2 linked regions of the Saccharomyces cerevisiae S288C genome follow. The protein of the gene in region 1 purifies or fractionates together with the protein of each later gene. This does not show direct contact. Each region holds a gene or a part of one and is shown in the gene's direction. Other genes may lie near its edges.

Evidence for each region. The genes of interacting proteins can lie anywhere in the genome.
Region 2: the proteins of HGH1 (region 1) and CCT7 purify together in Saccharomyces cerevisiae (affinity purification with mass spectrometry, with the first as the bait; 2 studies listed by BioGRID). This does not show direct contact.

Annotation. Positions count from the first base shown.
Region 1 is NC_001139.9:869,671-873,347, reverse strand, and holds HGH1 (Hgh1p), read left to right. Parts: upstream 1-1,931; coding exon 1,932-3,116; downstream 3,117-3,677. Other genes in the region: protein kinase BUB1, read left to right, coding at 1-1,304; transcription factor IIF subunit TFG1, read right to left, coding at 3,367-3,677.
Region 2 is NC_001142.9:206,005-210,090, forward strand, and holds CCT7 (chaperonin-containing T-complex subunit CCT7), read left to right. Parts: upstream 1-1,872; coding exon 1,873-3,525; downstream 3,526-4,086. Other genes in the region: MDV1 (Mdv1p), read left to right, coding at 1-1,445; GZF3 (Gzf3p), read right to left, coding at 3,918-4,086. UniProt on the Saccharomyces cerevisiae protein: Molecular chaperone; assists the folding of proteins upon ATP hydrolysis. Known to play a role, in vitro, in the folding of actin and tubulin. In yeast may play a role in mitotic spindle formation.

The DNA of each region.
Region 1 (3,677 bases):
TAACAAGCACAACCATTCAAAGTTCTCCATTTCTCACACAACCTGAACCACAAGCAGAAAAGCTTTTACAAACTGCAGAACATTCGGAAAAGAGTAAAGAGCATTACCCAACGATCATACCTCCCTTCACTAAAATAAAAAATCAACCGCCTGTCATTATTGAAAACCCACTTAGTAATAATTTAAGAGCGAAGTTTTTATCCGAAATTTCGCCCCCATTATTCCAATATAACACCTTTTATAACTACAACCAAGAATTGAAAATGAGTTCTCTATTGAAAAAAATCCATAGGGTATCCCGCAACGAAAACAAGAACCCAATTGTTGACTTCAAGAAGACGGGTGATTTATATTGTATACGCGGAGAATTAGGCGAAGGAGGTTATGCCACTGTATATCTAGCAGAATCTAGTCAAGGACATCTGCGAGCGTTGAAAGTAGAAAAACCTGCAAGTGTATGGGAATATTACATAATGAGCCAAGTGGAGTTTAGGTTGAGGAAGAGCACAATATTAAAGTCAATAATCAACGCTAGTGCTTTACACTTGTTCCTTGATGAGAGCTACCTTGTTTTAAACTACGCCAGTCAAGGTACGGTCTTGGATTTAATTAATTTACAACGGGAAAAGGCAATTGACGGCAACGGAATAATGGATGAATATTTGTGCATGTTTATCACTGTCGAGCTAATGAAAGTACTTGAAAAGATACATGAAGTGGGAATAATACATGGCGATTTGAAACCAGATAACTGCATGATCAGATTAGAAAAACCAGGCGAACCCCTGGGTGCTCATTATATGCGCAATGGAGAGGATGGCTGGGAAAACAAGGGAATCTATTTAATAGATTTCGGTAGATCATTTGATATGACACTGTTACCACCTGGAACGAAATTCAAATCAAATTGGAAGGCTGATCAGCAAGATTGCTGGGAAATGCGTGCGGGCAAGCCATGGAGTTATGAAGCGGATTATTATGGATTAGCAGGCGTCATACATTCGATGCTTTTTGGAAAATTCATAGAAACAATCCAGCTGCAGAATGGACGATGCAAATTGAAGAACCCATTCAAAAGGTATTGGAAAAAAGAAATATGGGGCGTTATATTTGATTTACTGTTAAATAGCGGTCAAGCTTCCAATCAAGCTTTGCCGATGACTGAAAAGATTGTTGAAATAAGGAATTTGATAGAAAGCCATCTGGAACAGCACGCAGAAAATCACTTAAGAAACGTAATTCTAAGCATTGAAGAGGAGTTATCACATTTTCAATATAAGGGGAAACCGTCAAGGAGATTTTAGTGAATAAATATGCCTTCATCTCCCGCATAGGTGACTTTTTGGTGTCCTGCCAGATTCCATAGCAATGACAACACAACTTCAGGTAGAGCCAATTGTAACATTAATATATAAAAGGTAATATAAAACTAGCAGGTTCTCAGGTTGAGTAAATATATTCTTTTTTAATCTTGACATCTGTCACTTATGGAAAAACAAGTACCAAAAAAATGGCGATAATGTTATGATATTATTTTACTGAAGCTCTTCATACATCGAGTATGTAGCAATTGCTCCACTTGTTACCGCGAAAACTAACAAGAATAAAAAATAGATGTCTTGATTCGCAATTCGCAGTATATTTCATCTAATAGCTGCAGAGCCAATTGGGATGTTACTGGTAGTGCTACCTTTCGATGTGTTCTGTTATCACCCCAGACGATAATTATTATTGTAGATTTTTCCCTATTCTTCCTCGAAGGGCTTTTTCAAATTTTTTTTTTTTTCATTTTTTCATATTGAGCTCTCTCATCTCATCCATCAATTTATGACGCACCTACTCTAATAACGACAAGTTTATTCTTCTTAAAACGGTATCAATTTAATTTAAAAATTAAAAATAGCTCAAAAAAATCAACAAAAAATTGAGTGATGACTTCACAATTGAATGAATTAGTGGAATTTCTGCATTCACCACAACCTGCCGTAAGACAGATTGCCATTGATAATCTAGTTGGATTTAGTGCTGGTCCCACTTCAAAAGTTTTCAAAAATGATAGCTACAGACCCATTAAGGATATAATAAAAATGATCATGGATCCAGAACACGGCACCCGTGTTATTATTCAGCAAGGTGTCACTATATTGGTCAATTTATCTGAAGACAAGTTAGTAAGAAATATTATATTGAGCGATGACAAGAAGTTCTTAAAATTTTTGGTTTGGAAAATTGTCGATTTAACCAATCCAAATGCCGATATAATGTGTATCTTATTAAGCAACTTAGCCAAGGATGACGGCATTCTTGCTGTTCTGAATATCAAAAGGAATTCAAGCGGTGAGGAGGTCGATGATGGTTTGAAGTTAGCAGCTTTAAATAAAGAAGTTTTCAAAAGTTTGAGAGCCATGGATTGTTTAATGGATTGCTTTGTTAAGGGTTATGATAAAAAATTAACAAAATATGCCAGTTTCAATTATTTAGCCTTTTTTTTTGCGGATATCTCGAGGTTTAAATTGGGCAGGATGTATTTTATTGAAGAGCAGGAATACGATGGGGTTGTTCCTATTTCAAAATTGCTAGTATTTACCGAAAAATATGATGCAAAGGTAAGAAGAGAAGGTGTCGCTTCCACAATTAAAAATTCCCTATTTGATTCTGAAACTCATGAAAGGTTACTCAAAGATGAAAAAATAAACTTGTTGCCTTACATCCTGCTACCTATTGCTAGTGCTAAAGATTCTGAAATTGATGAGGAAGATATGTTCAATTTACCAGATGAACTTCAATTATTACCAGAGGACAAGGAAAGAGACCCGATTCCTGCAATTATATGCTGTCATTTAGAAAGTATTCTTTTGCTATGTACAACGCATGCTGGAAGAGAATACTTAAGAGACAAGTCCGTTTATCCACTAGTGAGGGAGCTGCATAAAAACGTTGAGAATGAAGATATTGGTGAATTATGTTACAGAATTGTTAATATGTTAATGAGAGGCGAGCCAGGTGCGGGAGCAGTGGAAGAGATGCCATCAAAGAATGCGGAAGAGGAAGAAGAGGAGGAGAGTGAAGAAGAAGAAGATGACGACGAAGAAGATGAAATTGTCGAAGTGGCCTAGGTCACTTTCAAGGACAGTTCACATAGCATAGAATTGTATAATACAGAAATAACAATATATTAGAGTTTAGTAGAATTCTGAGTCTTTTCTCAAAAAAAAGGCAGAAAAAAAGACTAGATAAAAAAGTATACTTACTGCAACTAAAATGACAGTATAATGTAACTACATAAGATTAAATGGAAAGAAAAAGGAAAGAATGAAAAGAACGAAAACTAAATAACCTATTAAGTACATAACATTATAAACTAACCTACTCTTTCTTTAATTCCATGTGGTCATTGCCAACCTTTCGACACAATTTTTTTACAATGGCAAACATTAGCTTTTTATTCTCTGCGCCAGGATATTTTCTTCTGATGAACTTTCCAAACTCTTTGATATTGACTTTGCCATCACCAATAGCCTCGATGATATCTTTTTCTGTTATTGTAGGCGCTGGAGTTTCTTCCCTTTCTGCCACTGTAGAATTCAAGCCTTCCTCTTGTTTGATTGGCGAAGGCACTGTATTCGATGCATTATTACTACTATCTACAGCTTTTGTCGTCTGTGGATTCCATTCTC
Region 2 (4,086 bases), on another chromosome or scaffold:
TAAATAGTTTAGAGTTTTTAAATATTCAGAAAAATTCTACGTTATCCGAAATAAGAGACATTGAAGTTGAAGTTGAGAATCTGAGACAAAAGAAAGAGAAACTGTTGGGTAAAATTGCGAACATAGAGCAAAATCAATTACTATTGGAAGACAACCTCAAACAGATTGATGATAGGTTGGACTTTTTAGAAGAGTACGGATTGGAGGTGATCGAAGCTAATAGCGACGAAAATGCAGAAGATGATGGTATGAGTGAGCGAAAGGCCCTTAAAAATGATGCTATAAGAAATGAGGGTGTCACCACAGAGAGCATATCATCAGAGGCTTCTAATCTACCTCCAAGGAGAAGGCAACAACTTCGAGACGATAACTCATTGAATAGATTAGGTGCCTTTTATAGCAAATCCAAAAAAAGACACAGAAAAAGCTTCCCAACATTCCAGCAGCTTTACGAGCCAGGAACAAAAATTGGCTCTATAATGTCCACTCACGATGATTTCCTCACTTGCCTAGATTTTGATGCGCCCTTTGGTACCTTATGTACAGCCGGATATCTTGATCACACGGTAAAAATTTGGGATTTATCCAAACAAAACAAAATTGGAGAACTAGCAGGACATCTTGCTACAATTAATTGTATGCAAATCAATCGTGACTACGGAACTCTTGTTACTGGTGGTAGAGATGCGGCTTTAAAATTATGGAATTTGAATTTAGCTCAACAACTTTACCAGGAAACGCAAAATCTTACCTCTCCTACAAATCATATTGATTCTCCATGTGTTCATACATTTGAGGCGCATACAGATGAGGTTACTGCATTATCATTAGATCCTAGTTTCTTGGTGAGTGGTTCACAGGATAGAACAATTAGGCAATGGGACTTACGTTCCGGGAAGTGCTTGCAAACCATTGATCTGAGCTTTGCAAATGTCTTAACAACATCCACTAATGTCGATTTATCAAAGAGCACACTTCTTACTCAAAGAAATGAGAGGCCTAGTATAGGTGCACTACAAAGTTTTGATGCAGCGCTAGCAACGGGTACAAAAGATGGTGTTGTAAGGCTATGGGATTTAAGATCCGGAAAGGTGATTCGTACTTTGAAAGGGCATACAGATGCCATAACGTCATTAAAATTTGATTCCGCGTGCCTGGTCACAGGTTCATACGACAGAACAGTTAGAATCTGGGACTTAAGAACTGGGTTGTTGAATAAGTTTCATGCGTACAGTGCGCCAGTTCTTTCGTTAGATCTCTTCCAAGAGAACGCTGCAGTCGTTGTCGCAGACGAACCAAGTGTCCAGATATACGATAGCGAAAAGGATGAAAGCTGGTCTTGCGTCGAACAAGGTAACGAGACTAGCGTTAGTACCGTTAAGTATAAAGAAAATTACATGGTTGAGGGTCGTGAAAATGGGGACGTAAATATTTGGGCCGTATGATAGGCATTGCATTGCAATCAAGTCAACCCATTTGAAGAAAAATAAATATCGAGTGCATATGTGAATAGCTGCTCGCTCAGATATATATAAATAAATATTCGTTCTGGAATGTAAATAAAGTATCGTCAATACCTTGGATGGTTTATCAGCGAAATCGGTGCTGTAGATGTTGCCCTGTCATATTACTACAGATGTCTTGGAAGCAATCACCATACCTGCATTATCCTTACCCGGAAAAAGAAAACTTTCGTGAATAATGATTAATATTTAAGTGGCGACTTTTTCATCCTTGCTATTGAAAAAAAAAAAAATGAATAATTGTTATTAAGCGTTAGCAGATGCCAAATTGTCGAAATGATTTCAAATACAGAGAATTAGCCGCAAATATTAAGTAGTACCTGAATCACGAGACATACAACTCGGAAAAATGAACTTTGGAAGCCAAACACCTACAATTGTGGTTCTAAAAGAGGGAACAGACGCATCTCAAGGTAAAGGTCAAATCATCTCTAATATCAATGCCTGTGTTGCAGTCCAAGAGGCATTGAAACCAACTTTAGGTCCCTTAGGTTCTGATATTTTAATTGTGACATCGAATCAAAAGACTACTATTTCTAACGATGGTGCCACGATCCTAAAATTATTAGATGTAGTACATCCTGCTGCCAAAACTTTAGTGGATATTTCTAGAGCTCAGGATGCCGAGGTGGGTGATGGTACAACTAGTGTAACCATTTTAGCTGGTGAGTTAATGAAAGAAGCCAAGCCCTTTTTGGAAGAAGGCATTTCATCTCATTTGATTATGAAGGGCTACAGAAAGGCCGTTTCTTTAGCTGTGGAGAAGATTAACGAATTAGCTGTGGATATTACTTCAGAGAAAAGCAGTGGCAGAGAATTACTTGAACGCTGTGCTAGAACTGCAATGTCGTCGAAATTGATTCATAATAATGCAGATTTTTTTGTTAAAATGTGTGTTGACGCCGTGCTATCCCTTGATAGAAACGATTTGGATGACAAATTAATAGGTATTAAAAAAATTCCAGGTGGTGCTATGGAAGAATCTCTTTTCATCAACGGTGTCGCCTTTAAGAAGACATTTTCGTATGCTGGATTTGAACAGCAACCCAAAAAGTTCAACAATCCTAAAATTTTAAGTTTGAATGTAGAACTGGAGTTGAAAGCAGAGAAAGACAATGCTGAAGTACGTGTAGAACATGTTGAAGATTACCAAGCTATTGTAGATGCGGAGTGGCAATTAATCTTTGAAAAGCTAAGACAAGTGGAAGAAACAGGTGCCAATATTGTACTATCAAAGTTACCTATCGGCGATTTGGCTACTCAATTTTTTGCTGATAGAAATATTTTCTGCGCTGGTAGAGTGAGCGCAGATGATATGAATCGTGTCATCCAAGCTGTTGGAGGCTCTATACAATCTACTACTTCAGATATAAAACCAGAGCATTTGGGTACTTGTGCTTTGTTTGAGGAAATGCAAATCGGGTCAGAACGCTACAATTTATTCCAAGGTTGCCCACAAGCTAAAACATGTACATTATTATTAAGAGGAGGTGCTGAGCAAGTTATTGCCGAGGTTGAGAGATCATTGCACGATGCAATCATGATAGTTAAGAGAGCGTTACAAAATAAACTGATCGTTGCTGGTGGTGGTGCTACAGAAATGGAAGTATCAAAATGCTTGAGAGATTATTCAAAAACCATAGCTGGTAAGCAACAAATGATAATCAATGCCTTCGCTAAGGCTTTAGAAGTTATTCCAAGGCAACTCTGTGAAAATGCTGGGTTTGATGCTATAGAAATATTAAACAAACTAAGATTGGCTCACAGCAAAGGTGAGAAATGGTATGGTGTTGTCTTTGAAACAGAAAATATTGGCGATAATTTTGCCAAATTCGTATGGGAACCTGCTTTAGTAAAAATCAATGCTTTGAACAGTGCCACAGAGGCTACTAACTTGATTTTATCTGTTGACGAGACGATCACTAATAAAGGTAGTGAAAGTGCCAATGCTGGCATGATGCCTCCCCAAGGGGCTGGAAGAGGGAGAGGTATGCCAATGTAATTAACACTCTAAAAAACATGTGCTGCATACATTTTATTATTACTCTTTTTGCAGTAGTTATTTGCATCAAAGGTAATTTCTTTCAATCATAAATAAGTTAATACTGTATTGATAAAACCTTATTCTTTTCTTTTGTATACTCTGTATCTTAAAGTAATTCTAGGTCTAAAGAAAAATGAAAGAAGTAATGAAAACTCCGAGAAACAAATCATATCATTGGTCGTCATCCGGGTTGGATGTCATGCAGCTGCATTCCATTTCTTCGGCAAAATGTACGTAATATTCGATTAGAACCCTGTTTTGCAACTGATTATGCTACTATGTATTTATATATGCATACATATGATGATATTATATTTGAAAAATGATGCTGATTTTTTTGAAAAAAAGATCTATCCTCCTTTATTCCCTTCTTGTTTTACTGTCCTTTGCAAACGTTCCTCAAGAGCTCGACATTTCCCGTCTAATTCATTGATATGTCTCCTATATAAATCTGTAACAAGTTCTAACTCATTTATTCTAGTTTTGAGCTTTATAATTTCTTCTTCTTTGTGCAATTTA